Macaca mulatta: one gene and its partner. The protein of the gene in region 2 purifies or fractionates together with the protein of the main gene of each other region. This does not show direct contact. Links are inferred from orthologs where the notes say so. Each region holds a gene or a part of one and is shown on either strand. Other genes may lie near its edges. The genes, in order: CUL1 and FBXO38.

Region 1 (15,560 bases), on a different chromosome or scaffold from region 2:
GTAATTTTGTTTTTCTGATTATAAAGCTATTTTAAAACAATAAATGCTGCTTCATATCTAATGTTCCACTAACACTGATAACTCAAGAACCTAAAGCTGGTGGAATATAGAACATGCAAACCAAACAGCACCACTTTTTCTGTTTTAAGTTAAAACTCTTTCTTGGAAGAACATAATCATCTCAGGCAGCAAAACATACTTTTACCCCTTCCCAGATGAAAGATCAGGCTTTGATGCCATTGCTGATTCATCCTCTGAGAGGCAAAGCTTTCCACCTCTTAGTCTACAGACCCTTCCTGCAGGGGCTGAGGGGCAGGAAGAGTGAACAGGTACCTAGGTGATTACAGAAACATTCATGGCCGAGGGGCCTCCACACTAGCTTATTTTATATATTGGCAAGGAAACCAAGGCTGTAGGTATTGTCATCAGCTTTCAGAAAGGACAGTCATTTAGGTGCTCTATTGATTCCAAGTCAAAGAGGCTCCTGCTCATCACTGCACTTGGCAGGCTGTTGTATTAGAACGCCAAGGTCAAATTCAAATGACTAAATAAAATACGTAATTAAAGATGGTCTTTATTAATTCAACGAGGATTTGTTCTCAGTAAAAACAAAAGGAAAATAAAACCCAAAAAAGATAAGCACATTAATGAAGTATGGTATTTTTTTTAAGTTTTTAAAAATTGACATTAGAAATCTTAGTCATACAGAGATTCTGTAGCTCAGATCAGTCTCAATTGTATGAGACAGTCAAATCTTTCAGAAACACTAACATGGTTCACTCTTCAAAGCCATCCTTGGAAAGACAAGCCAAATATTCCAGATGTTTCCTCTAAAACACTCCTAATAGAGAAAAGTGAACACAAACCCAGGGAATCTGAACTGCTCTCAACTGGCTAGACTTTGCAGAGTATTTCTTGAAGGGTCACGTTTTATCTCAATGTTGTTCTATTTCCTGATAGAATGTTTGCTGTAATGTAAACATAATTGCTCCCTAAGTTATTAAGTAAGATTTGCCACCCTTTATCCTGTGGTTTTGCATCCTCCCAGGCATACACTGGAGGTTTTGTGGGATATATATTTGTAATACCAAATACATTAGCCTTGCTCTTTGCCACACACCATTCTAAGCACCTTTTAACAAATAAATACCTCATGTTAAAATTTGTAAATACTAAAGCTCACTTAATCCGCATTATTACCTATTATTATTATTCACATTTTACAGATAAGGAAATTGAGGAACAGAAGCATTAAGGTTATCCCCTTAATAAATGGTAGGGTGGGGATTTAAAACTAGACTCATAGCACAGTTTGAGATGCAAGGCTATAGGATGAGAGCAGAATTACATGGTCAAATTCCAATCTTACGCTTATAGACTCTCTGCATTATCAACTTTCAGAATGTGATGGAAGTCGTGTTTGGTGTGATCCAGGTGGATTTGGGCCAAACCTTTAACTCCTCTAGAAATGAATCCCCTGTATGGGAACCAGGATGTAGGAAGCACACTGCTTCCTTGAAGGCAGGGCTCATGCTGGATTGGACGCATCCAGGCCATTGGAAATCCTTGCTCCTCAACTGTCTTTGGTGTCAGGCCTGGTTTTCAAAACAGATTTACCTGTTCTGGGACTGCTTCCGTAGTTCTAGCCTAAAACACTGGTTTCCTTGCCCTAGAGCACTACTACTTCATCAGTGTGGACAAAGGAGATGACCACAATCCTCTAATAAACCCATAAAAAGAACAGGCTCGCACCACTGTCATGGATGTGCATCTGGATAAGAGGTCTTTAGGGACATAGTTTTAAAAGAATCACCACATACAGCAGAGTTTAATAAGAGAAGTGTTTAGGAATACAACACTGTCATATTAAACAATGAAATTACAGGCAATGCTAACATTCAAAACAGATTATGTTTCAAAAGTTCATTTGTTAGGCAGTTGTTTGAAACTCTGGGTGAGCTGGTTAGGTTCCAGATCAGCATACAAAAGTCAGTTTAGCCCACCATTATACACAAGGAACTATTAATATTCCCAGTATAATACTCTGAATAGTTCCGTTTTTGTTAAACTTTGAGATAGCAGAAATTTGTCAAGGACTTTCAACTTCAAACTTCTAAGCCCATTTATAACCACTATCTCCTATAGGAAAACACATTCAGGTCACCACAAACAAACCAGACAGAACTTTCTCTATGAGGTTAGAGCGGAGCTGTTGCTTTTAATTGACTTTCTATCTCAGTTTATGGAAAAGAGATTCCGCAGTCCATTCATGCTCCAAGTGAACAGGGAATAAAGGGCAAGCAGGTGTCAGGCTTGCAAAGATCCAGACTCCTGGAGATCTCCTAGTATAAGGGTCCTCAAATGCTGGGCTGGGGGCCAGTATGGCTCTGTGGCCTGTTAAGAACTGGGCCGCACCACAGGAGGTGACCAGCAGATGAGTGAGTATTACCACCTGAGCTCTGCCTCCCGTCAGATCAGGGCAGCATTAGATTCTCATAGGAGCTCGAACCCTGTTGTGAACTACGCATGTGAGGGATCTACGTTGTGTGCTCCTTTGATCTGAGATGGAACAGTTTCATCCCCAAACCATCCCCCTTCTTCCCCCCACCGCCGTCCGTGATGCCAAAAGGGTTGGGGACCACTGTCCTAGTACAGCTAGGTCAAGGGTCAGCAAACCGTAGCCCATAGGCCAAATTCGGCCTGCCTGCCTTTTTCTGTAAATAAAGCTTTATTGGAACCCGGCCACACTCATTGGTGTACATATCCCACTGGCTGCTTTGTGCTGCAATGGCAGAGTTGAACAGCTGCAAAAGAGATCACATAGCTCACAAAGCCGAAAGTATTTCCTATGTAGCCCTTTACAAGATAAGTTTGCTGACTCCAGACCTATGTCATTCCTTAGAGTCTAAATCCAGGATGTCTGTATTTCTTTTTTTTTTTTTTTTTTGAGACGGAGTCTCACTCTGTCATCCAGGCTGGAGGGCAGTGGCACAATCTCGGCTCACTACAACCTCCCCTCCCAGGTTCAAGTGATTCACCTGCCTCAGCCTCCTGAATAGCTGGGACTACAGGCATGCGCCACCACGCCCAGCTAAATTTTTTTGTATTTTTAGTAGAAACGGGGTTTCACCACCTTGGTCAGGCTGGTCTCAAACTCCTGACCTCAGGTGATCCACCTGCCTCGACCTCCCAAAGTGCTGGGATTACAGGCGTGAGCCACCGCGCCCGGCCAGGATATCTGTATTTCTAAAGAGAACAAAGAATAGTAATTCTACTAGATCTTTATTATCAGCGGGCCATGGTTACTCACATCTGTAATCCCAGTAATTTGGGAGGCCCAGGTGGCAGGATCACTTGAGCCCAAGAGTTTGAGACCAACCTGGGCAACCTATCTCTACAAAAATAAAACAATTAGCTGAGTGTGGCGGCTCATGCCTCTAATCCCATTACTTCTGGAGGTTGAAGTGGGAGGACAGCCATCCTCTCATATTAGAATTTAAATCCTGGTTTCAGAGGAACCTTTCCTCTAATATAATCCTGAAAGCTATGTAACAGATTCTTAGGGGTATTTTAGAAGCAAAAAAGGAGAAGCTTCAAGTTTGCAAATCTAAGAATATTTGTTTCTTAAAATTTTCTCATTGACGTGACTGTTATGCCCATTATATACAAATCCACATTCTAGGATAAACAGTTAAAAAAGTCATGTAGCTATTATGGTTATATCCTTAGAACAGCAAGGAGAACTCTTAGTCATGATTACCAAATTAATTTACAGAAGCTCCTTGGAGAATTAGGAGAAGCACTTGCACCTGATGAAGACACTATAGAAAAACAATGCCCAACAAATGACTTGTAAAGAAAGCTGTATATGCTAAAAAGAACTCACTTGAGTAGCAATGACTTTAACTTAAGTCTACTTAAAGTACTATATTGAAGCTTACCTTTTTCATATATTCAGTAACTGGGTTCTGCTGCAAGAATTCAGTACTCTCTCTGGTATAAAATCTCTCTGTGTCAGCCAAAAATTGAGATTCAAAGGATTCTTTATACACTGTTAACGTAGGGCCCTTTGCAAATGCATCATCTTCATTCAGCCCCAATTCCACTAGAAATGAATATGAGCTATATTTCAATTACCCTATTTTTTTGGTTATATTTCACAGAATATACTTAGGTGTAGCATTCAGTTTAAGTTATGTTTAAAAGGTAAATGTGAAATGGCAGGACATAAGTAACTCTTACTCACTAGTATTAAAGTACACTCTTTCAATAAAATAAAAAAGGAAAAAAATCCAAGATGTATAAAAAGCAAGTAATTCTGACCCATGGCCAGGTATGCTTCAAAATTATGATGAAGTTCCTTTAGAGAACTTTTATATTTCCAAAGGCAATAAAAATAACTAATTTTAAATTTGCAAAGAAATACAATGCTACCCAAGTTTTTAAGACATTGTATTACTTTATCAGTTTCTCAATCTCAATTTTTCAAGCTGATATAGATTTCTGGTTATCATTGAGCTCACACTCTAACATGTCCAGTAATCCACTACGAGACCAGAAAAGAAAATAATTAAAATGTCTATTTCATCAAAATTTCCTTAAGGCACACGGATCAAACAGCTTTTATGATGGATAAAAACAAAGTCACACTGACTTAAAAAGAAAGAGAAGTACCTTCGTAAATGCTAACAATGTCCTTTATAATATGAAAATATTTTAAAGTGAAATCTGTTAGAGCATTGTCATAATTGCCATTTGATGTGGAAACTTTGAATAAACTAAAGGGAAATTATTTACCGTAAGACTGTACAACTCCACTAATCAATCTTGTATTGATGGTTTCACCATTCCTTTCCTTTTCAATCAGCTTTAAAACAGCATTTGTTACCTTTAGAAAGGATGTAGAAAAATATTACACAGGTTATAGAATATGATATATATTACTACATATCCCTTAAACATTCACAGCCATTAAACAATGTAAGATGGGATAATCCAAAGGAGTGAGCAGACAAAGGCTAAGCAACGAAACTGTGAAGGGATTTTAAAAGGAACACGCACACGCACACGCTTACACCAGTAGGTACCTGTTTATTCAGTGGCCTGAACAGACAGTCTCTCCAAGTCACCAATGCAAGCTGGAGAAAAAAAAAGTACAAAATATCTATACTTTTACTATGTTTTTCCAAGATTGAAGTCATAGGAAATAATCTAAATCTCAAATTACTTCATCAAAATTTCTAGATTACAAGTTGGTCAAAATCTGCTATCATGACGAAATCAGAAAGCCACTCTCTAGAGTCAACAACTTCAAGAGGTATCCAAGCACAGACATTTGTCAGCTCAACTTCTTTATTTATATTTTCTTTAACTGTTGTTGAAAACAGTATAGGAAAAGTTTAAAAACCGTAATTATTTTTAGGAGTCTGTGATGTTACTGTAGGGTACACATTTAGGTCAAGCAGGTTTCCAAAAGGAAATGAACCAAGATCATCCTGATTCCTATACTAACAACTTTTGAGTCTCAAGAAAGCATTTATATGTGAAAAAGAAAAAAAATCCCATTAGCTATTCCACAATACACACATATTTCAAAAAGGCATGGTGTACACATTTTTGTCAGTTAAAAAAATAAACAAAATGTTAAAGGGGAAGCACAAAAACCCCAAATCAAACAACTAAACCTAGAAAGTTTTGTTAGAACCAGACTAACTACATAGCAAAGTATCATTATGAACCAATTAACAATTTTGGTATAGAAACTGGAGTTACACAAACAATAAAAACAAGTCATGCATCTGGGATACATTATGCTTTTCTTTCTTTTCTTTTTTTTCTTTAGACAGGATCTCACTCTGTCCAGTGGTACGATCATGGCTAACTGCACCCTCCACCTCCTGGGCTCAAGCGATCCTCCTACCTCAGCCTCATGTGTGGCTGGGACTATAGGTGCCTCACCATGCCTGGATACATTTTTTTGTACGTCTCATTATGCTGCCCAGGCTGGTCTCCTGTCTCGGTCTCCCAACGTGCTAGGATTACAAGCATGAGCCACTGCAACCAGCATTATGTTTTTCTTTTAAATTTGTCAAAAGTGAAGCTACAAAGTATTGCTATTATAGCAACATTCTTGGATATGGTGATTAACTTCTTTATGTAGAATCTGACATTTTAACAAAACTAGTTTTAAAGGGCATTGCCTGTGTTGATCACGAACAGACTGTTCTGAGTCCTCCCTTAATTGCTCTAGAACACTGGTTCTCAAACTGGAGCATGCATCAGAATTGTCTGGAGAGCTTCTGAGTCCTCCCTTAATTGCTCTAGAACACTGGTCCTCAAACTGGAGCATGCATCAGAATTGTCTGGAGAGCTTGGTAAAACATTGCTGGGCCCCATCTCCAGAGTTTCTCCTTAAGTCTAGGATGAGGCCTAAGAATGTGCATTTCTAACAAGTCCCCAGGTGATGCTGACAGAGCAGGTTTGGGGACGTGATACGGTTTGGCTATGCCCCCAGCCAAATCTCACCTTGAACTATAGCTCCCATAATTCCCACATGTTGCGGGAGGCACTCAGTGGGAGAGAGCTGAATCATGGGGGTGGTTCCCCCACACTGTTCTCATGGTAGTGAATAAGTCTCACGAGATCTGATGGTTTTATAAGGGTTTCTGCTTTCGCTTGGCTCTCATTCTGTCTTGCCTGCCACCATGTAAGATGTGCCTTCTGCCATGATTATGAGGCCTTCCCAGCCACGTGGAACTGTTGAGCCCATTAAACTTTTCTTTATAAATTACCCAGTCTCAGGCAGTTTTTTATCAGAAGTTATGAAAACAGACAAATATGGGACCATACTTTGAAAGCCAATGGACAAAAAAACCCCTTTTGCTGACTGAAGCAACATATATTAATGAGAGTGATTTAGTAATTAATTCAGGGTCCTCTCCCTGAAGCAGGGTTTACCAGGCTATAAAGTATGGGAGGGCTAATCCTCAGGGCTCGCCCTCAGGTATGGCACCTGATTTGCCTGGGACTGCCACGACTCAGGACTTTCAGTGAGAAAACTCAGGCAGTTCCATGCCAATTGTGATGGTAGGGTCAGGTAATTAAAGAAGAAATTTTTAAAAAGCAAATGCAGAAATGGACAAATTGTATTTTAGAACTCCAATTTACCCATTCCTCTACTTTCTTGCTAAAAAATATTTAAGGGACATTTATTGATAAAACAATGAAAATTAGTTTACTACTCTGAAAAAAGCTTAATATTTGCCTAGATTCTCTTACTAAAAGACAATTTATCATTTTAAAAAAACACATTTAAAACAAAACTCTTACTGAATAGATTTCATATATTCCTTTTCGTCCTTCGTCACATTCACGGCGAACCCAATGTCTATTGAGGTAGGCACAAATTCCATTCAGTACTTTGCTTGAAAATCGATAATCTTCCCATTGTTGAGTGTAGAATTTCAGTACACTCTCATCCATCAAATCTTCTCCATCCTAAAAACAAGTTAACTAAAGCTTTAAGATGACTAATTTGTCACATTATAAATTAAAAATAAAAGTGAGTAACATCTACTGTATTAAAATACATTGATACATGTGATTTTAGATGGCTTCTTTAAATTATTCTGTATACAAAAACATGCTAATAAACTCACAAGAATATAGTAAAAACAATTCTTTCATCTCAAATTAAACAGGAACATTTTTCATGGTATTAAATATCCACAAACACTCAAAAAAAGTACCCTGAACATTTGATATGCAGGTAATTCCTTTTTATTAAGAAATTTACCTCAAAATCATCTGTATTTTTAATATTTTGTTTAAAAAAAAAATTGGCCAGGTACAGTGGCTCACACCTGTAATCCTAGCACTTTGGGAGGCCAAGGTGGGCAGATCACTTGAGGTCAGGAGTTCAAGACCAGCCTGGCCAACATGGTGAAACCCTGTCTCTACTAAAAATACAAAAGTTAGCTGGCCGTGATGGTGCATGCCTGTAGTCCCAGCTATTCGGGAGGCTGAGGCAGGGGACTCGCCTGAACCCAGGAGACGGAGGCTGCAGTGAGCCAAGATCCTACCACTGCACTCTAGCCTGGGCAACAGAGCAAGACTCTGCCGCCCCCCCTCCCCCGCAAAAAAGAAATCAAATCAACATGTCCTACTCAGCAATTCAGACAACGAGGCTAATACTATTCAATTTTTAAATGTATCTTCTTCCTTCTTAAGAACCACAAAACACTTTTTTGTGGTAATCTGTAAAAATAATGTGAGTACGATAGTATAACAATACTTCCTCTTTAACAAGCCCTCATAAAGAAAATGTGCATTTACCAAAATTATTTTTATCCAGATTTCTACAACTCGAGTCACGAATTTTTATTTGAAGGAGACTAGCTTGAAATTTTTTCTTAGGGATTAATGGCATCTACAAAGTAAGCTTTACCCTTTAAAAACGTTAATGGCGGCCGGGCGCGGTGGCTCACGCCTGTAATCCCAGCACTTTGGGAGGCCGAGACGGGCGGATCACGAGGTCAGGGGATCGAGACCATCCTGACTAACGCGGTGAAACCCCGTCTCTACTAAAAATACAAAACTTAGCCGGGCGCGGTGGCGGGCGCCTGTAGTCCCAGCTACACGGGAGGCTGAGGCAGGAGAATGGCGTAAACCCGGGGGGCGGAGCTTGCAGTGAGCTGAGATCTGGCCACTGCACCCCACCCTGGGCGACTGAGCGAGACTCCGTCTCAAAACAAAAACAAAAACAAAAACGTTAATGGCACTGTATGGCAGCACTGCCATTTAGGTGTGTGGAGCAGAGAAGCACGAAAGAGGAAGGTGGGGGCGGAAGGGCTGCAGGAAGGGCTGGGGCGAGCCCACTGGCTTCTCTGAGCCTCAGTGTCTTCAGTGAAAACTAAATGGCTACGACAGACTTGAAGCTCCACCTGTATAAGGTACACGAGTGACCGAACAAGCCATGTAAAAACCTGATCATCTCTTGACACACATAATTTTTTGTTCATTTAAATTTAAGTAATATGAAATGAACTTTAAAATGTAAAGCTAAGCTATTTTGGTTGATGGTAGCTGACCTTTTTAAAATGCAAAAATATCACTGAAGGCATGGTCATCAACATGATTACTTAGCACAATATACTGTTTCTTACTTTAGTACTAAAGAATAATTAATTAGAACATTCACTTTACAATGTGTTATGAATAAAAAGAACAGTGGCTTCAGCAAGACCTTAGAAACACCATGTGAGGAAGACGAAAATAATACACTAGTCACAACTTGTGGCCAGCCAATTACATACAGTCTGTTAGCATGATGTTTTAAAGTCTTCAATTAGCTTGTAAAAATAAATTAGGTAAAACAATTTTGCAGCATGCAGAAATTTCTGCACATCGTGTAAATCAAAACTATTTAAAATATATACACAGAAGAGTTCCTGCAAATGTCCCTGGGTTGAGAGTATAGATGTCTTCACTCTGTGACAGTGTAGAACCAGACGAAGGACCCACTCGCTCATCTTGTGGCTAGATACAAGGAGTCACACTGCCTTTGCTACAAAGGATGAAGACCAAGGAAGAAAAAGGCGGGAGATGAACGGGAAAAGACTCCACCACTGCCCAACCAAAGGCTTGGAGTGGGAGGGACCTATGCTAGAAGGAAATGGATATTCACAGTGAAACTCATCCTAGTCACGAGCACAACTTCACAGCAGTTTTGAAATACACGTCATGGCCAGGCACTGTGGCTCACACCTGTAATCCCAACACTTCGGGAGACGGAGGCAGGAGGACTGCTTGAGCCCAGGAATTGGAGACCAGCCTGGGCAACATAAAGAGACCCTGATTCTGCAAAAGATTTAAAAATTAGCTGGGAGCTGGGTATGGTGGTACATACCAGTAATCCTAGCTACTCAGAAGGCTAAAGCGGGAGGATTGTTTGAGCCCAGGAGTTGGAGGCTGCAATGACCTATGATTGGACTACTGCACTCCAGCCTGGGTGACAGAACAAGATCCTGTCTTTAAAAAAAAAAAAAAAAAAAAAAGGGAAAAGAAAAGATAAAAAAAAAAACAAACTTCACAACCATGTGTAAAGAGCAAGATCACATTTGAAAAAAATGGTTTCCAAGACTGAATAACCTTACAATTATTTATACACCTGACAGGGAACCCCACGTTGGGTTTACAGTAAATGCAGGTAACATGAATATGTATTTGCTTTAAATAAAAAAGTTAATCACTTCTAACCACCAAATCCAAAATGGTTGGTAACTTAAGGAAGGTACTATTATGCTAAAAGGTTATCAAAGCTTTCTAATTTTAAAAAACAGAATGAGCTGGGCACAGTGGTAAGAATTTGCAGAGTCTCAGCTACTCAGGAAGCTGAAGTGGAAGGATCACTTGAGCCCAGGAGATCAAAAATCCAGCCTAGGCAACATAGTGAGATCTCCATCTCGAAAAAACAAAACCCCAGAATATACTTTATGATGATTTCATATTCACAGTAGGTAAAAGACTATGCAATAGCAAAACACTGTCACCCACATTAGTGTCTAAAACATAACAGATGACAGTGAAAGATTTAACAAGTTAGAACCACTATTTCACTCCTTTTTTAAATATCCTGTTATGAATACTCAGTATATATGTGAAACATCTTACCTTAAGAAGATTTGTCAAGTAATTCTTCAAAAATTCCTTAAGTCGTTTATACAATTCCAGGCCAACAAACTGAGCTCCTCCAGGTGTCTGCCCCTTTTTCGACTTAGAAGGAGGAACTCCAGCTCCTCGTGCTTGGTTTGACTGGTGAACACTAGTACAGTAGTTATAAACATGACTTGGAGAGAAGTTAAGGAAACCAACATATATCACAGACATTAACGGTCATTAACATAAACATATTTTCTTATATTTCATTACCAGTGCATTCCCAATATATCAACCAAAACCTGTTAAAAACTAGAGTGGAACAAAGATCCCATTCACACTATCCATAAAGCTAAAGGCAACAAGCCCCATTCACAAGGTTCTTGGTAGGCCTTGAGAGCAATGCCGCCAAGGTGGAGAAGGGAACATTCCAGGAGGGAGGCTGCCAATAAAAAAATCTGGACCTTTTACATTATCTAATGTGACTGACCTTGTGGAAAACTGTCCCAAAAGGAAAATGCAATCACTGTCTCCTGGAAAAGCAAACAGCTAACAACAAGCACTGTCTATTATGATGCTCAGCTGTAACTTTTTCAGAGGCACACATTCTAAATATTGAAATAACACAAACTTTATTTTAAAATGACTTAGAGAGCCAAGTCCTTATATTACAATAGTCGTAGACGTCTAAAACTTATCAGTCAATGGCAGCAGTGTCCACACACTACTGAGAAATACAGAGATGTATAAACCACAGCAGAGACAGCTGATTGCAAAACAGCTGCGTCTGCAGGGGGAGCACAGAGAATGAGAAGATGGGGACGGGCAGGGCAGAGAACCACCATGTTCTGTTGTATCCTTTAAATACGATGAGCTTATCTGCATGTATTATTAATTGACTAAAATGAACGGAAAGATACTTATACTCAGAAATATCAACAAAACAGAACAAAACAATATTCTGGTATAATTAAGAATTTACTACATAAAGATACTTCAAGACAATGGGTAAAAGATTATCTAATAAATGGCATGAGGCAAGATATTTCTAAATATTCCATGTTATATTCCAAAATATATTACAAATGGATTAGGATTTAAAATATACAAGCTAAAACAGTAAAACCAAGAATATATATGTGAACACTTATCTGTTCTCAGGTTGGAGTGGCCGTTTCTAAGTAAGGTCATACAAAAAAATGAATTCAGGCCGGGTGCGGTGGCTCACGCCTGTAATCCCAGCACTTTGGGAGGCCGAGATGGGGGAATCACGAGGTCAGGAGATCGAGACCATCCTGGCTAACACGGTGAAATCCCATCCGTTTGGGGTCCCTGACTTCCCACAACATGTCTCTACTAAAAACACACAAAAAAATTAGCCGGGCATGGTGGTGCGCACCTGTAGTCTCAGCTACTCGGGAGGCTGAGGCAGGAGAATGGCGTGAACCCAGGAGGAGGAGGTTGCAGGAAGCCGAGATCGTGCCACTGCACTCCAGCCTGGACGACAGAGCAAGACTCCGTCTCAAAAACAAAACAAAACAAAACAAAAAACAAAACAGAGAATCACAGATTACAATAAGCAACTACTGTATACTCATGACCCAGTTTTGACAGATCTTACTGCGTTCCCACACTTGTCTCATATTTCACCTACAGTCCCCCTCAACTTTTGAGAAAATAAAATATTACAGGTTATAAGTGAAGCACTATGTTCTCTTCTTTCATCCCACTCCTTCCTCTTACCCTAGCAAACACCACCATGTTTGGGTATGTATCATTCCTGTTTTTAGATTTTGCTGGATAAATATATATCAAATATATTTCACATGTCCTACATTTTGTTTTGTTTTTTTTTTTGAGATGGAGTTTCACTCTTATTGCCCAGGCTGGAGTGCAATGGTGTAATCTTGGCTCACTACAACTTCCGCCTCCCGGGTTCAAGCGATTCTCCTGCCTCAGCCTCCCAAGTAGCTGGGATTACAGGCAGGCGCCACCATACCTGGCTAATTTTGTATGTTTAGTAGAGATGAGGTTTCTCCACGTAGGTCAGGCTGGTCTCAAACTCCCAACCTCAGATGATCTGCACGCCTCAGCCTCCCAAAGTGCTGGGATTACAGGCGTGAGCCACCGTGCTTGGCCATGTTTTACATTTTTAAATTACACAAACTCTAACATGTACATTTGCTCTGTCATTTGTTTTTGATGGTATTTGACATAGCCACAGCTGTAATACACTGTGTAACACACATTTATAAAACTTTATCAACTCTCTTGGTGGTGGACCTTGATAATGGTCCTTTTGGCAGGTGCCTTTTTTGTGTGTATTTACAAAGCTGCAAAGAATAAAACTAGCAGGTCTCCTTGCATACATGTACAAGTTTCTTGGAGCACATAAATACTAAGTGACAAGAGACTTATATTCTTTCTTTTTTTTTTTTTTTTTTGAGACAGAGTCTCACTCTGTTGCCCAGGCTGGAGTGCAGTGATGCGGTCTTGGCTCACTGCAACCTCCCGGGTTCAAGCGATTCTCCTGCCTCAGCCTCCAGAGTAGCTGGGATTACAGGCACCTGCCACCATTCCCAGCTAATTTTTGTATTTTTAGTAGAGACAGGATTTCACTGTATTGGCCAGGCTGGTCTTGAACTCCTGACCTCAGGCAATCCACCTGCCTCGACCTCCCAAAATTGCTAGGATTACAGATGTGAGCCACCTTGCCAGGCCCTTTTAAACAATTTTTTTGTAGAGATGGGGTCTTGCTATGTTGCCCTGGTTGGTCCAAAACTCCTGGGCTCAAGCAATCCTCCTGCTTTGGCCTCCCAAAGTGGTAGGTTTAACTTTATTAAGAGTTGCCAACTTGGTGCTACAAAGCGGCTGTCCGGCACCCTGTAGTGCATGAGTTTTCATTGACTACAACCTTGGCCATGCATTCATACTGTGGTTTATCATGGTTTTAATATCCATTTCTAGGGCATAGGCAGAGTTTTTTTTTTTTTTTAAGAGACAGGATCTCACTATGTTGCCCAGGCTGGAGTGCAGTGGCTATTCACAGACATGATCATAGCATGCTACTGCCTCAAACTCTTGGTCTGAAGTGATCTCCCACCTTAGCCTCCTGTGAAGCTGAAAATTCAGGCACATGCCACCACATTGGCTTGACTTAGCACAGTTCTTTTAAGGGCCTTAGGATTTTCAGAATGGTAAGTGAACACTCCTTTCAACAAAGTCACCAGCTACATTTACCCCTAAGAGAGTCAGCCTGTCCTCTGAAGCTTTGACACAAGCATTAACTTCTCTCTAGCCATGAAAAAAGTACCAGGTGGCATTGAATACTATGCAGCCATAAAAAAGGATGAGTTCAGGTCCTTTGCAGGGACATGGATGAAGCTGGAAACCATCATTCTGAGCAAACTATCACAAGGACAGAAAACCAAACACTGCATGTTCTCACTCATAGGTGGGAATTGAACAATGAGGACACTTGGACACAGGGCAGGGAACATCACACACCGGGGCCTGTCATGGGGTGGGGGGCTGGGGGAGGGATTGCATTAGGAGAAATACCTAATGTAAATGGCGAGTTAATGGGTGCAGCAAACCAACAATAGCACATGTATTCCTATGTAACAAACCTGCACGTTGTGCACGTATACCCTAGAACCTAAATTAAAAAAAAAAAGTCCTAGGTGGCATCTCCTTCCAATAGAAGGACGTGCAGTGGGAGTCGGGGCACCAGCAGGGCAGAAGGCCTTGGGGGTGCAGGCTGTGTGGGGACGGTGAGACTTACAGAGCGAGCTGCTGCTGAGTGTGTGACCCTCCTGGGGGCAAGAGGCCTCCAGAGTGTGCAGGACGTGAGAGGCTCTAGTTTCTGTGTCAAGAGGTCCAAGGAAGGCTTATCACCAGGCTGAGGCTACAAGGACACAAAATTTTAAGACTCAAAATTTTAAGAATTGGCAGCACTTTGGGAGGCCGAGGCAGGCGGATCACGAGGCCAGGAGATCAAGACCACCCTGGCTAACACGGTGAAACCCTGTCTCTACTAAAGATACCAAAAAATAATAATAATAATAATAATAATAATAATAGCTGGGCATGGTGGCGGGCACCTGTAGTCGCAGCTACTTGGGAGGCTGAGGCAGGAGAATTGCGTGAACCTGGGAGACGGAGCTTGCAGTGAGCTGAGATTATGTCACTACACTCCAGCCTGGGTGACAGAGTGACACTCTGTCTCAAAATTAAATAAATAAATAAATAATCTGTTGCTTACACAGCCACCTTCATCAATGATCCTAGATTTCTGGCTAATTTGCTGTCCTCCATCGGCACTCGCTGCTTCACCTTGCACTGTTATAAAAGATGGCTTCTTTTCTTTAATCGCATGAACCAACCTCTGCTAGCTTCTAGCTTTCCTTCTGTAGCTTCCTCACTTCTCTCAGCCTTCACAGAATTGCAGAGTTAGGGCGTTGCTCTGGATTAGGCACTGGCTTAAGGGAACGCTGTGGCTGGTTTGATCTTCTATCCAGACCACTCCAACTTTCTCCTTATCAGCAATACGGCTGTTTCGCTTTCTTATCATTTGTGCTTTCACTGGAGCAGCGCTTTTAATTTCCTCCAAGAACTTTTCCTTTGCATGCACAATTTCGCTAACCTTTTAGCACAAGACGCCTAGCTTTTGGCCTGTCTCAGCTTTCAACAGGCCTTCCTCATTCAGCTTAATTGTTGCTAGCTTTTGATCTACAGTGAGAGACATGCAACTCTTCCTTTCACTTGAACACTCTGAAGCCATTGTGGGGGTTATCAATTGGCCTCAATTCAATGTTGTTATGTCTCAGGGAGTAGGGAGGCCAGAGAGAGAGGGGGAAACGGCCAGTCGGTGGAGCAGACACACGCATTTATGGATTAAGTTT
Region 2 (15,560 bases):
CCTATAATCCCAGCTACTCGAAAGGCTGAGGCAGGAGAATCGCTTGAACCAGGAGGCGGAGGTTGCAGTGAGCTGAGATCGTGCCACTGCACTCCAGCCTAGGCGACACCCAAACTTCTTTTCATAATAAATTATATTGGAAGCAACACTACCTCCACTGGCATCACACTGTCCAGTTTACTGGCAGCTCCTATTGGAAACTAACCACTGCCCTATGGGGTGGGTGGTTATATTATTAGTTGTTACCATTTGACAGAAGAGAAAACTGAGGCTCAAGGGTAGGGGTTCCAACCATCTCCAGCTCTCCCATCAGTTGTTTGAGGAAGTCAGAACTCAGGTCTTTAGATTCTACATATGAAGTCCCTGTAAGAATTGTGGTACCAGCTATTGTTTAGGGAGACTGTTAGACCTACACACCTGGCAATGAGACACAATTCTCTCACTGCTATTAAGTCATATATCATCCATGTAGTATTTTTAGAGCCTTTAAAAAGTGTGCCAGGCACAGAACTGCACCAACAGCTGGTGATATAATTAAATGAATGAATAGGATATCTCAGGTTTCTACGGCAGGTGTGGCCAAACCATGGCCTGGGGGCCAAATCTGGTCTGTGAGCCTTCAGGATGGTGTTTTACTTTAGTAAATGGCTGGGGAAAGAGTTATAAGAGTAGTATTTTGTGACATGTGAAAATTATGTGAAATTGAAATTTGTGTCCATAAAGTTTTATTGTAATACAGCCATGCCCATTCGTTTATATCATCTATGACTTTCACAATAGTCGTGCAGTTGCCACAGAGAATGTGGCCCATTGAGCCTAAAATATTTACTATCTGGTCCTAGATAGAGTTTGCTGACCCTTGCTGTGGAGTGATCACTCTCCAGCCCTTCGTATTATATATCTATTCACCGACTGACTATTGTAGTTGGCATCTTCCAGATTTTTTTTTGGTTGTTCCAGTCTTAGCCTCTTTTGAATTACTGTAGCGCTGCCAGCTGTACTTCCACTGATCTAACAGTTTAGGTTAGGTTAGACAAAGACACGACTAAGCCAAAAATTACAAAGCAGTGGCCTCTTGTGGCTAATGTTAGCATTATTTAGATAATTTGGTTAACAGGTTACAGTGAAAACCTAGATTATCTTCGCTCAGGGTTGGGAATCCCAGATTATTTTGAAATATCTAGGATATTCTGTAATTTGTTTCCTGACTCTTACCACAGTTGTAATCTGTATAGTGAAACATACTTGTCTAATTATAAGTTAGCTGAGTTAAAAATAGTGTAATAAGGAGACAATAGAATGAAGTACCTAATTGAATCACTCTTCCTAATGTAATGAGAATTTTTAGAGCCTGGGGAAAAAAGAGAACTTGAAGGGTAGACACTGATTAACGTGGAATATTTGAGTGTTAGAAAAACTTGCTGGCATCCTTGTATTTCTGTCATGAAAAACAGAGGTAGCCTAGCTGGAACGAGAAATTGGGATTATTGTCCTACCTAGCCTAAAAACAGGTCCTAAACGTGGGTGAGCAATTTTTCCCCTTGGCTTCCAATTAAGACCTTCTAAATGAAGGGGCTGAACAATTCTCAAAGAAACTTTACACCTTAGACCATAATTTCATGTCTATTTAGAGAAAATTTATAAAAATTTTCCACAGGCCTTCAGTTTCAGTAATTTGCTGAGGTCACTTGGCTGGCAAGTCACAAAGCCATGACTCAAATATAGGTGTTTAAGCTTTTGCTGACAACCCTTGCTTGACACTATAATACTATGTATATCATTGCCTTATCAGGGCAATTAATTCCTCACCTTGAAAGGGGAGAAAGACCACCTCCTGATGACCAGAATTTTGGAAAATTCTGCTGTTCCCAGTATTGTCTTAAAGAGCTCTGCCTGTAATCCTAGTACTTTGGGAGGCCGAGGCAGGCGGATAACCTGAGGTCAGGAGTTCCAGACCAGCCTGGCCAACACGGTGAAACCCTGCCTTTACTAAAAATACCAAAAATTAGCTAGGCATAGTGGCGGGCGCCTATAATCCCAGCTACTCAGGAGGCTGAGAGAGGAGCATCACTTGAACCCGGGAGGCAGTTGCAGTGAGCCGAGATCATGCCATTGTACTCCAGCCTGGGCAACAAGAGTGAAACTCCATCTCAAAAAAAAAAAAAAAAAAACCAAACCAAAACAAACGAACAAAAAAAGTTCTGTGAGTTGAACATCTTGTAGCTAAAAACTTTCAGAGATCAGAAATTGGATTACACTGGAATCTTACTTAGATACAACTCTATATATACACTGCTTTTCTGAGCAGTATTTGCTACTCTTCTTTAAAAAGAGGGATTCAGGTCCAAGGCAAGAGAAAAGTTTTTAATAAACTTTTATTTTATATTTAAGATAAAGCATATACACAATTCAATGTGGAAATAAATTACTAGAAATACTTTGGAAACTTTTCCATTTCCCTCTCAAACTCACTTTTTTTTAAGCTCATAAGTCTTTTTACTTGATTTTAAGAAACATGGCAACTATAATACTAAGAAAGAACTACAGCTTTGTACAGAAACATATATAGCCTTGTCTGACTATAAGGTTTAGTTGGTGTTTTAGTAACAACAAAAAAGCACACAAGACACAAACACTCTTCAACAGGTTTACTCAAACAGCTTCGCTCAAGAAGAAAAAGGCACAGATTTAAAGGGATGACAATAATCATTAAGAATGAAGTAAATGGAGACTCAGTCAAAAAATGATACTTTATGAATTAAGTCAAGAAAAACAAAAGTCTTTCAAATTATCTGTCTTCATTAAAATGAATTTTTAAATTAAATTGTATAAACATATGATATAAAGTTGGTACTTTAGGAAGCGTCTTTGTATATTTTTTATGTACAAATCTTTGTATACAATTTCGATGTTCCTTATACATTCCCTATATAGCAAACTGAGCCAGGACCTCCCAACTGCATGCCTCAAGTCTCTGTGGAGCACTCTGGCAGCTGGATGGTCCTACTTGCTTTCTGACAAAATAGCTGGAAAGGAGGAGGGACCAATTAAATGTAGTCATCTTCAACTGGCTCTCCATTGACATCACAATAGTGGATAAAAATTGCCACTACTCGCTGAAATACACCCTTCTTCATCTGACGCATCTCTGAAATTTCCTCTCCTATTGTTTCCATACAGATGTCTGCAGACAGCTGTCCTTTCCTTCTAGGAGCATAGATAGTGCCTTTGAAATTAGAAATAAAAGGAGAGATACATATGATAATCAGAATCATTTGGAAAATCACTGATAAGCTGGTCCATAGGATATTCCCATATACTGCACTACAATGTAACTGATGTATGAATAGCTCAAGGAATGGGTCACCACCAGTTTGTTCTTATGTTTGATGCCTAAGACAGCGAACATGCTTAAAGTCTCAAGGTAAAAATACTATACCAAACGTAAGTCAGACATGTGTACATGTAGTTCATAAAACCCATTTCCTTATAAAGTATTTTCTTAAAACTTTGGTTAACAATAAATATTCAAGTATGCTACCACTTAGAGAAACTACATTCAAAAATTTCTCCCCAAATTTCTACACCTAAATTATAAGTTTCCACACAGGAAAATCTGTCCAAGGAAATCCTTTCTACCAGCCTTTATATATCCCTAGTAAGTCTACTGAACATCTATTGTACAAATAAAGAACTGTTTTGAAGTGAGTAAATAAAAAACATTTATATGGGAAACCATTTAACACTGCACTACTCCTAACTCACAAAAAGATATTAAGTATGTAACACAGTAGGCTATACTTAAACTAGAGATTAGATGTCAAATCAGGTCATAATTACTTTCTTCATCATCTTCAAAGTCGTATCGAGCGAAGCTGTTGGGCTCTGCTGCTCGTAATGACCTCAGCCAAGGGAAGTCAGAAATCATGGAATATGGAGCTCCATCCACAACACCTAAAAGAAGACAAATGTAACATTGCTAACTGGCGTGGAAGTGCTGATAGAGCCAAATTCTGCAGTATTTTGTAAGCAGAATGTAAAATATAAAATAAAGAGAGTGAGTCAGGTGTCCTCAAATCATTTCCAGCTATCAAACTACAGTAATTTGTAATTTTTGTTTATGTTTTATGTTTCACCACTGGTTCTGATTGTCCTAGAAATAGTAAAGACTCATACAGGCAAAGCAATATTCATCTGGCTCCCACTTCTTGCAGGTATTAAAATCATCCATGTTTTGAAGAACTGTAAGACTCCCATTCATATCTTCCCTAAGGCATGTCCAGTCATCTAGTTAATAGCTATTTAACTTTTCCTTTTTTAAAAAAGTATAATTCTCTACATTTGGGTTACTGCTTGCTGTAAGCCCAAACCAGTTTGACTAATTGATTGATGGATCATTCATTCATTCGTGAATGAGAAAGGGCCATGTTTTGTTTCCCAGGCTGGTCTTGAACTCTTGGGCTCAAGGGATCATCCCACCTTAGCCTCCTGAGTCGCTGGGATTACAGGGGCAAGCTACTGCACAGGCTATTTAACTTTCTAAATATTTGTAAATACCTTCTAAAGTATAGATTTCTCTCCCCCAGGGGTACTTGGGGTATTTCTTTAAGTCTTCTTCACTTCGAGTGGCTTCAGGGAAGAATTCATATTTAATGAGCTCTCTGGAGGCAACAGGAAAAATTAAGTAAAAATTACAAAACTGGAAATAATTAGAGTGTCGGGTAGGAAGGAACCATCAACACTGTTTCAGACACAGATTCTACCAAACATCTTAAACAAAGTATTAAATACCTAACAGAAGTAGGATACAATCAAACTAGAGAATCCAAGTGTAGTCAGGTCAAAACTACTTTCTTCACTATCTTCAAAATCATATCAGGGAAAGAAAGTCACTTTCTAAGCACATGTCTTCTACACAAAAGGTGCTGAATGCAACATTAATATAACAAATATACAAAAGTCAAATTTTCTGATGATATAAAATATCAGTCTTAAGATCTTCTTCAAATTGATCTCTTTTTTCATGCCCCAAGGCTAAATAATGTTACAAGTACATGTACAATTTTTTCTTGTAATTTTTATCTGAGTTTTAAAGATCATAAATATATACATATGCTTTTTAGTTTTAAGTCCTCGTTTCCCTCAGTTTCTCACTTATGTTAACTTTTAAGTCCTCGTTTCCCTCAGTTTCTCACTTATGTTAACTTCAGGATAAGCTTGTCTGAAAAGCTTAGATGGAATCATTTAAAATAAAGAAAAATTGGGATTTGCTTCTGGGAGTCCCTGCTATGAGAAATGACTAAAAAGGCCTTTAGGGGCCACAGAGTTACTTACTGATTGATGTTTGCTATAGTGTCCATCCAGCTGCGAATGCGCACCTTATTCCGGACATTGGGAGGGTTGCTGAATTCATGGATAATACAGATGTGATAGGGGTAGGGACCACTAAACAGCTTCTGCTCCAAAGTTAGCGTGTCCACCTGCGGAAGACATCATAAAGAGACACCTTCAACAAAGAGAATGCCTTAGAAATCTCTCTGCTAGAGCTTCAACAATCTTTCCACGGACCTTCCGTTTTGAAATCTCTGGTTGATTTGAAAATCAAATAGTCACATACAGACCTGAAAACAGTTTGTCATGCTGGGAATAATTTTGCAAACTCTTCTGTCTAGGGAACTTGGCAATTTATATCTCACTGTTATATTTAAATGCTTAGTAAACCAGAGAATCCTGATTGAGATAAATGATGTCAGTAAACTCAGAATCTACTTCTGGGTATGTCCTTTATTAAGTACTGACTGCATTATAGAACTGTGAATGTGTAGTAACATATACCCTATTGAAATGGGACTGCTGCCCAGTCTTTAAGAGAGAATGCATTCTCTTGTCTTCTAGGAGCCTTTGATAACATTGCTGTTTTCTCATGGCATACCCCTCTCCCATCTCTAGTTATGAAATCTCACTCTGCCATCTCAGTGGCATATATGTTTATCTCCCTTTTGGGAAGGCAAACTCCTTGAGGGAAGGATCATGTGTTGTGTATTTTTTCGCACCCGGCATATTGTAAGTTTTGAGACACTTGACAATATGATGAACTGACTCTTTTGAGGCCAGGCTTACACACTGATTACAAAGGGGCATTTAAAACTTCCTTTAAACCCTCTTTTGGCATTAAGCACAGAACCTTATATACAATATACTCTTAATAATGATAATGACACTAATAGTAGTTATATGATGGCTTACTATATACTAGCACCTGTTTTAGAGTTTCACATATATTAAATATCACAATAATCCTTGGTATACCATTATTATTCTAATTTTACAGATGAAGAAACTAAGACATAGAAGTCAAATAATCTGCTACAGGTCAGACAGCCAGAAATTTAATCAGGCAGTCTGAACCAGAGACTGTGTTCTTAACCACAAGTAACTTTTAATAAGTATAAAAACCTGTTGAATAACAACTCCCTGCATCACATATAACTTGTAAAAACTAAAATATCATTACTGTAGGTTGGAAGTGAACGAATGCCAAATCCAAAAGGCTAAAGACTAAAAAAAAAAAAAAAAAAAAATCACAATATGTGTATCATCGGAAAGGAGCAAAGCTCGTTACCTGCTGCATTGGGCGTAGGTATATGATGCGGTTTCTCTCGGGTGGCATTCTTAGTATCTGGTCTAGTACCTGATCCATGTTCAGTTTCTTGCACTGTGCGTAGTCAAATCGGTTTACAATTGGTGCATTTTCTACTTTTAAATGTTTTAGTACCCTGCACCTGGTAGCTACAAAATGAAAACAATGGTAAGCTCTATACATATCATCTTTGGAGAGATGGCCTAATTTTTGTTAGCACAAAATACTGCAGTAACAAACATCTTTAACACAGGTCAAATAATATCATAGAGTACAAATGGCAGTTAACAAAAAAATTTGAAAATGTGGTTCTGTTTACTTCAAAAGAAGGTAGAAGGGGTGCATTAAAGTGCCTTTATCTAAGATTTTTACTGTTAAGAAAACCAAGCCCTAGAAAATGACTTGCCCAGACAGAAACTGTTTAGGAAATATTTATTTAAAAAATGAATAACTATTATACATTTTTATAGTTAACAATCAGACCTGAAATAATTCACCTATATTACCTTACATTCACTCTCAGGAATGAGCAGAGTTGGATTTTAATTCCTGTCACAAATGTAAAAGCAGAACCTTGAAAAAAAAGACCCAGAAACACATTTGGGTATTTTGGTCTAAAGCTATTCAGTCCAATACAGTAGCCATGTGGTTAGTGGTTACCATCATACTGAACAGTGTACACACAGAACATTAAAGTTCTACTGAAATGCTGGTCTAAAACATGATTAGTTTTTCTGTTTGATATATAAAACACGAAGTCAGAAAAAAGTAATTTTGATATAATAAACACATTTAACTGAACTAGTATACCAACTTCAGAAAAATATTTCCTTCTCTTTTTTTTAATCTCAAATTTCAACCTGGTCCAATTTTCATTGCAGACTGCAACCAGGTCCAACTTGAGAGAGAAGATCAAATGGAAAAGATTATAAAACCACAGGCTGATTTGCCTGATCTTTTTAACATTTCACAGACATCTTCTGTAACATCTTTGACCCAAATGTCATCATCGTCTTGCGCAATCTAGCGTAACTAACTTGACATTTAAACACTGAGCGAGACTCCTGCCTCTCACATTCATTTTCTCCTTCTGTGACATGGTGGAAAGGAGGGGAATTGGTGTTGAGGACAGCAACAGAGGAAAGGAAAGCGCTAGATGACAGTAAGGATCCAATGGTTGCTAGCTATAAAATCAGACATGGCTAAGGTCAGTTCTAATCTCATTTAATCATCTCCTCCGTCATTAACTTAGCCACTATCTACAGACTAAGCTAAGATCCTCTCCCCATGATAAGCTGAGCCAAACAATTTGGTTTAAAGGGGAGAAGGTTGGGCCTGAGGCCGTGTGATCCATCATTAGGTTAGAGAATGTACAGGAAGAATCATCAAAGTAAAAAGAAGAAAACCAGTCAGATTCTTGGAGAGCTCAGAGTAGAGAAAGGAATGGAATGAGGTGCCAACCGGCAGAGTCCGAAAATTGAGTTTTACATTCTCAGAGCTCAAAGGGTGTAGGGACTGACAGAATGAAAGTTCTTCCAGTGCTACTGAAAGGCTAGGGTGAGTACCCCTACTGTTATGAACTCTGAGCTTTTGAAGAGCCTGTGTTCTCTATTGTAGAAGGAAACTCCAATAGGAGACAGTGATTTAAGATGTTTTAGGACCAAAGACCTCATTGGCTGAGATAGAGAAAAGTACTATTTCTTCAGAGTAAACAATAGAGTTGGGGTCCCAAAGGTCTGAACTTTTGTAGAATTCAGAGTAGTGCTTGAATCTCAGCTTCATCTCTCCTTTCTTGGATTCTCCTTACTTTATGACAAAATGTTTGGTAAATACCTTTTAACGGGATTTCTTTGTTTACCACTAATATGGTAGGAGACGTAAAACAAAACAAAATAAACCTCTTAATATTTTTTGCAATACAGGTTGACTAACATTTATCTGAAATACTTGGGATCAGAAGTGTTTTAGATTTCAAATTTTTTTTCAAATTTTGGAGTATTTACATTATATACTTACCCTAATAAAAAATATCTGAAATCTGAAATGCGCTCCAATGAACATTTCCTTTTAGCATCATGTTAGTGCTCAAAAAGTTCTGAATTTTAAAGCACTTGTGCATTTTGATTTTTAGATTAGAGATGCTCAACGTGTAATAACATCACTAGGCATTACTAGAGGTCAGACCCTGTACTGTGTGTGTGGGTGTGTGCATATATCATGTATATGTACATATATGGGCATTTCTCATTATATTGCACTTTATTGTGCTTCACAGACATTGCATTCTTTACACAAGGTCTGTGGCAACCATGAATTGAGCGTCCACTAATGCCATTTTTTTAGCAAGCATGTGCTCACTTTGAGTCTTTGTGTTACATTTTTAATAATTCTTGCAGTATTTCAAACTTTTTCATTATTATTTTATCCATTATGATGGTCTGTGATCAATGATCTCTGATGTTACTATTTTAATTGTGGGGTGCCACCAACTGCACCAATGTAAGTGAACTTCATAAATGTTGTGTATGTCCTGACTGCTCCCCCAACAGGCTGTTCCCCTGTCTCTCCCTTTCCCTCAGGTCTCCCTACTCCCTGAGATATAATGATGTTGAAATTAGGCTAATTAATAACTCTACAATGGCCTCCAAGTGTTCCAACAAAAGGAAGAGTCACAAATCTCACTTTAAAATAAAAAGATAGCAATGATTAAGCTTGATGAGGAAGTCACGCTGAAAGCTGAGATAGGTCAAAAGCCAGGTCTCTTGTGCCAGTTAACCAAGGTGTGAACGCCAAGGAGAAGTTCTTGAAAGAAATTACAAGTGCTATTCCAGTGAACCCACAAATGGTAAGAAAGCAAAAGAGCCATATTGCTGATATGGAGAAAGTCTGAGTGGTCTAGACAGATCAAACCAGCCACTACATTCCCTAAGCCAAAGCCTAACCCAGGGCAAGGCCCTCAACATTTGGGCAAGACTCTCCACCAGCAAAAAGATTATGACTTGCTAAAGGTTCAGGTGATTGTTAGCATCTTTGAATAATAAAGTGTTTTTATTTTATTTTGTTTTTTTCTGAGATAGTGTCTTGCTCTGTTGTCCAGGCTGGAGTGCAGAGGCATGATCTTGGCTCACTGCAACCTCTGCCTCCTATGTTCATGCGATTCTCTTGCCTCTGCCTCCCAAGTAGCTGGGATTACAGGCATGAGCCACCACCCCTGGCTAATTTTTGTATTTTTAGTAGAGACGGAGTTTTGCCATGTTGGCCAGGCCGGTCTCAAACTCCTAGTCTCAGGTGATCCGCCTGCCACAGCCTCCCAAAGTGCTGTGATTACAGGAGTGAGCCTCCGTGCCTAGCCAATGAAGTGCTTTTAAATTAAGGTACATAAATTTTTTTAAAAAATACAATGCTACTTCACATTTAATCGACTATAGTGTAAACGTAACTTTTATATGCACTGGAAAATAAAAAAAATTCATACGATTCGCTTTATTGTGATATACCTTTTATAATGGTGGTCTAGAACCAAACCTGCAGTGTCTCTGAGGTATGCCTGGATACATATACATACAGAAACATATCAATCACTGCATTTAACTTTCACAAATGCTTTATGAGTTAAGCATAATTACGCACAGTTTACAGATTGAAAAAAATGAAGACAGAAAATTATAAAACTTGCCCAAGGCAAGGAAATAAGTCAGATCTTCATAATTTTACATGGATGGGTATCTAAAATATAATTTTGAATAAAAAGGTAAAATTAATAGATCAATTATAGGATATACTATGTAACTAAAATTTTAAGAAATCATAAAAATGAATACCCTATGTTTGAGACAGACACATATATAAAGAAAGATATAAAAGGTACACTGGAAAGATATATGTTCAATACACGAGTATAGATGGCGGGAGCGGATGAGATTAACAATGAGGGACACGAGACTAAAAAGAAAAAGGGGCTTGGATAAACGATAATGTGCCATGAAGTAAAGATACAATTAATCATCTCAATCAAATACAGAGCAGTTATACACTTGAGGCCCAGTCGGCGCTTCCCTCAAAAACCATGTCCAAGTCACACAGCTGGTAAATGACCAAGCCAGCAATCAAGCTGAGGTCTATCTGACTCCAAAGCCTATGCAGGCTGTTATTTACTCTGCCAGATCAGGCAGTAATTATCTTTTGGAGACAGGCTATTTTAAAAGATGAACCAAGTTTCTCTACATGATGCTCAGAAATACTATGGAGTAATACTTTGAGAACTAGAACAAAGGTGGAACTAAAGATAACCCAACACAATATTTCCTTTAAGAAAATAAGACGGTAATGTTATTACAGTATTTATGAGTTCCTAATTCTTTTAACTCATTCATGATGCTCGTGTATAATATGGGCCCAAATACATACCATGGATGAACATCATCTTGGGACAGTCTTTTAGCACTAGATCTGTGATTCCACAATTGGTCATAGTGACTCCAACGAGATTCTTGGATTTTAATACAAGAACCTACAAGGAGAAAAATTAGAAACTATATAAAGATACAAACTTTAGTTTGCATGCATTACTTAGGAACTGGGCTAGACTGTGATAAAGGTAAGTGACGGATTTTCCTCTACCTGCACATGGTCATCCTCGATCACAGGATCACTTGTACTGGTGGATTTATCTGCTGTCCGCTTCCGTTTCATGGCGTGACGTGGCTTTGTTTTGGCTACTTCTAAAAAAGGTAAAAAAGAAGAAAAACCAAAACTTTAGCCTTGCTTTCTTTACCTCAAACACATTCAATCACATATGTATGAACACCATCAAGGCAATTCCCAAATCTAAAATTTGGTTCCCAATGGAATACAGTTATATTGGTATTTCCAATGGATTGTTTCAAAACAGCATCACCCTCCATTACTTCAAACATATCTACATCAAATATAACAACCCTTCTCATACCTAGGTCATCCTAATAATCTAATAAACATTCCTACTTCCAGTCTCTCTGACTCATCCCATCCTAAATACTATTGGTGAATTGAACTCCTATCTTTCCTACTAAAAAACTTTTAAATTATTGACTGAAGCTGAATGAATGTTTCAATGCTTGACATTTGGAGCTATGCTTCAGCTCTGCCCATTCTCCACACTATACCCTAGTCATCTCCCACTGCTAATGTCTCCGAAGTCATCAATTGCTCTAGCTTCTTCTGCTCAGAACACCTTTTCTGACCCTAGTTTTTGAAATACGACCCATCTGGGAAAGGTCCAACTCAAACACTTAGTTCTAACAAAGCACCCTTGATCCCCAAACATTACATACTGCCCTAATAGTTCCTTTTATACTTGTTTTGTTGGTCTATTTACATAAAAGCTCGTTAAAGGCAACAACACTCTCTTAATTCATCTTTATTTCAAAGTCAGTCACTAGCAATGAGATAATATGAACATTTATTGAATGAACTGGCATCAACACTTACAGAATGAATGAATGAATGAATGCACCGCAGGTAAAACAGAATAACAAATATTTACTGAGCGCTTACTGTGTGTCAGGCACTGTTCTAAGGGTTTTACTTGTATTAACTCAATCCTTACAATAGCTCTGAGATGGATTTATTGTTCTCCCTGTTTTACATATTAGGAAACTGAAGCACGGGAAGGTACAAAAACTTGCCACAGTGCTAAATGGGAACCAGGAGTCAAACCCAGGAAATCAAGGACCAGTTACTAAGCTAGAAAACCTGCAATCTTTCATCTGTCAAACCCTGGTTAATAAGGCCCTTATTTACTAGTACTGTTCTGAAGCAATACACTTCGAAATAAGCAAATATTGTCCTTATTTAATTTAAAAACGAGTGCTAAATTCATAGCTAAAACTTAAGCACATATATATTCTAAGAAAATACATTAGTCATCATTCTCGTTTTTGATACTTAATCATACTGTAGCAGAGCATATATAGAATTAAATACAACTGACTATCATGAATTAAATTACCACCATACTGTTTTTTTAGATAGTACTGCTAATTATAAACATTCCACTTGGTAATTCTGTAATATCAGTAATTCTGTAATCTCAAACATGAAAGATCACAAAAAAAGACAAAGAAATGAGAACGAATACTGCAAATTCCCAAAGGCTTGGGCTTAGATGGGAACCGTAGAGATTTAGTCTGATTTTTTTACATTTTTTTACACAACAAAATCCTTTCTACACCATTGAAATGGTGTAGAAATTCTACTCTGTAAAACAATTCAAAGCAGCTGCTTTGGCTGAAGGCCGAAAAGGAGCCCAAGAGCTCTACCCATCAAACTTCCTCCAAGGACCTTGAAACGAAGCAAAATTCTGGAGTTCCAACAAAACATGAAGACTACTAACCACACAACACAATGTAGGCCTTCTCCCACAGTATCCTGAAGGAACTTCATCCAAAATCAAATCATCTTCATTGACAAGGAACCTTCTAAAGGCAGCACATTTCACCTGATAGCCAAAATTCACAAACCTTTTAAAACCTCTAATAAGTCCTAGCTCCCTCTCCCAGTACCACAAAAATGAAAATGAACAAACAAAAAGCAAGCCTGTTTCCACTACTACATGACAGTGTTCTAGTAAGAATCTTCTCTCAGTAATCTCCTTTTGTGATCTGATTTTCAAGTATCTCACCTTCCTGGATTGCTCTCTCCCTTCCCCCTTAATTTAACAGAGTATGGAGTTCAAAATTGGGTAAAGTTTCCTGCTCTCCAGGGTACCCAAACTGGTAGTTTACATTTTCTAAGAAAAGTTATAAAATGAAGTCACACTTTATACATATATGAGCTTGAAAAACAAACATTTCTGATACATAAGGAAAAAAGTTTGTGTGTTTGTTGTTATTCTCTTATGCCTCCCTCCCTGTTTAGAGAAAATTAATTTTGTTTAGGAACATTTTTTTAGTAATTCAAAACATCCACTAGCATCAACAATACCTCATATGATGATGTCTATACTTATTATGTTCACAGTTATTATCTAAGCCCCATACCATGTGTAAGACATGGTGCTAAAGGATAGAAATATACTGGTGAAAAAGCAGAGACTGTCCTTGTTCTCATGGAGCTCACAGTCTACCAGAAGGAAGACAGTAAAACAAGAAATTACAACAGAGTGTGGTTCACATTAATGTTGAAGATGCTACAGAAACAGAGAAAGGCAGATCAATCCAGTCTTGGGGTGTCAGGGAAAGTGTTCAACATTTATAGCAACTATTTTAATCTTAAATGTTATTCTTTGACAATCCAATTATTTATTTCTCTAATATTTACTTTATAAATTGTTATACAGTGAGGATTAAAAGCAACTTACAGGTATTTATTCCCAAAATATAAATTCACAAAACAATTATATTAGCTTCTCAAATGGCTTTAATACTCCACAGGGTCATAAATTAAAAACCAAATATCTCAAATGTTACTTTTTTTTGAACTGATTTTTAAAAATCTTTAACATTCAAGTTTCTTCCTTTATTAGTTTGGATTTTTCTCTTTAAAAAACATGCCAGATTAAAAATAATTTGGGCTGGGCACGGTGGCTCATGCCTGTAATCCCGGCACTTTAGGAGGCTGAGGTGGGTGGATCACCTGAGGTCATGAGTTCGAGACCAGCCTGGCCAACATGGGGAACCCCTGTCTCTACTAAAAACACAAAAATTAGCTAGGCATGGTGGTAGGCGCCTGTAATCCCAGCTACTCGGGAGGCTGAGGTAGGAGAATCACTTGAACCCGGGAGGTAGAGGCTGCAGTGAGCTGAGATGACGCCACTGCACTCCAGCCTGGGTGACACAGTGAGACTTCATCTCAAAAATAATAATAATAATCATAATAATAATTTGTAAGCCACCCAAATAACTTCTTGTCCTTTCCAAAAGGGACTATAATAATATTAAAATCAGTACTTTGATATCTACCCCAAAAAACTACTATTCAAAGTAAATAGACATTTTTATAAATCTAAAATATATTAGCAAATAATTTACCTACTATAACCATGTTACAGACATTAGAAGTCTTCTCAAATTGAAAAAAAAATCACATAATAAATGCAATAAGAAGCACTACATAAATATTTTCTTTATTTTAAATCCAGAGAATGATTTAACTTAAAAAAAGTTCTAGACATGAAAAAAGTCAGAATAGTTAAGGGATAAGCAGAACACCAGGCAAAAAATAACATCAAAACTTCAATGGTTAATATGAAGGTTCTGTATTAAAAACAAAACAACAAAAAACGAAAAAATTTTATCAAGACATGTAAGTAAAATGGCAAACATAACAGTCCCTAAACAGGAAGACTCAGTGCTGTTAAAATGACAATTATGTTTCAGTTATCAATTGAATGCAATTTCAAACAAAAAGCAAGATTAGTTTTTGGAACTTGATAAAAATATTACAAAGCATATCTATAAAAATAAATGGCAAATGCATGGCTAGTCAAGGAAATTTTGAAAAAGAATAATGAAAGAAGACAGAACACTGGAACAGAATAGAACGACCAGAGATTAACCTAAGTATGTCTAAGAATTTAGTAGATGAGAAAAGAGCGTTTCAAAATAATAGCACAAGAATGGACATCCATAACCAGTACTGAAACAAGCTGGTGATAGTTTGGAATAAAAATTTAATATTAGTTCCCACAGATTGAAATAAAATTCCAACTGAACGAAGGAACTAAACCGAAATCAATGAATAAAGGAATAAGATGGGCACAATTATCTGAACCAAGTGTAGGAAAGGCCTTTCACAGTATAAAAATGAACTCATAAAGGAAAACACGCAGATCTGACTTTGCAAATATGAAAAGCCACAGAACAAAAGGTGTCATAGGAGGCAGATACTGTTTAATGGGCACAGAGTTTCAGTTTGGGATGATGAAAAAGTTCAGATGGTT

The links.
Region 1: the proteins of FBXO38 (region 2) and CUL1 purify together in Homo sapiens (affinity purification with mass spectrometry; 4 studies listed by BioGRID, with this or other methods). This does not show direct contact. The link is inferred for Macaca mulatta from reciprocal best matches to the Homo sapiens genes FBXO38 and CUL1.

What each region holds. Positions count from the first base shown.
Region 1 is NC_133408.1:188,569,602-188,585,161, reverse strand, and holds part of CUL1 (cullin-1), read right to left. Parts: intron 10,847-15,560; coding exon 10,672-10,846; intron 7,498-10,671; coding exon 7,330-7,497; intron 5,139-7,329; coding exon 5,088-5,138; intron 4,889-5,087; coding exon 4,798-4,888; intron 4,106-4,797; coding exon 3,942-4,105; intron 1-3,941. UniProt on the Homo sapiens protein: Core component of multiple cullin-RING-based SCF (SKP1-CUL1-F-box protein) E3 ubiquitin-protein ligase complexes, which mediate the ubiquitination of proteins involved in cell cycle progression, signal transduction and transcription.
Region 2 is NC_133411.1:157,408,247-157,423,806, reverse strand, and holds the end of FBXO38 (F-box only protein 38), read right to left. Parts: intron 11,362-15,560; coding exon 11,261-11,361; intron 11,151-11,260; coding exon 11,048-11,150; intron 6,790-11,047; coding exon 6,623-6,789; intron 5,481-6,622; coding exon 5,335-5,480; intron 4,662-5,334; coding exon 4,558-4,661; intron 3,955-4,557; coding exon 3,841-3,954; intron 3,227-3,840; coding exon 3,048-3,226; 3' UTR 2,634-3,047; downstream 1-2,633. UniProt on the Homo sapiens protein: Substrate recognition component of a SCF (SKP1-CUL1-F-box protein) E3 ubiquitin-protein ligase complex which mediates the ubiquitination and subsequent proteasomal degradation of PDCD1/PD-1, thereby regulating T-cells-mediated immunity.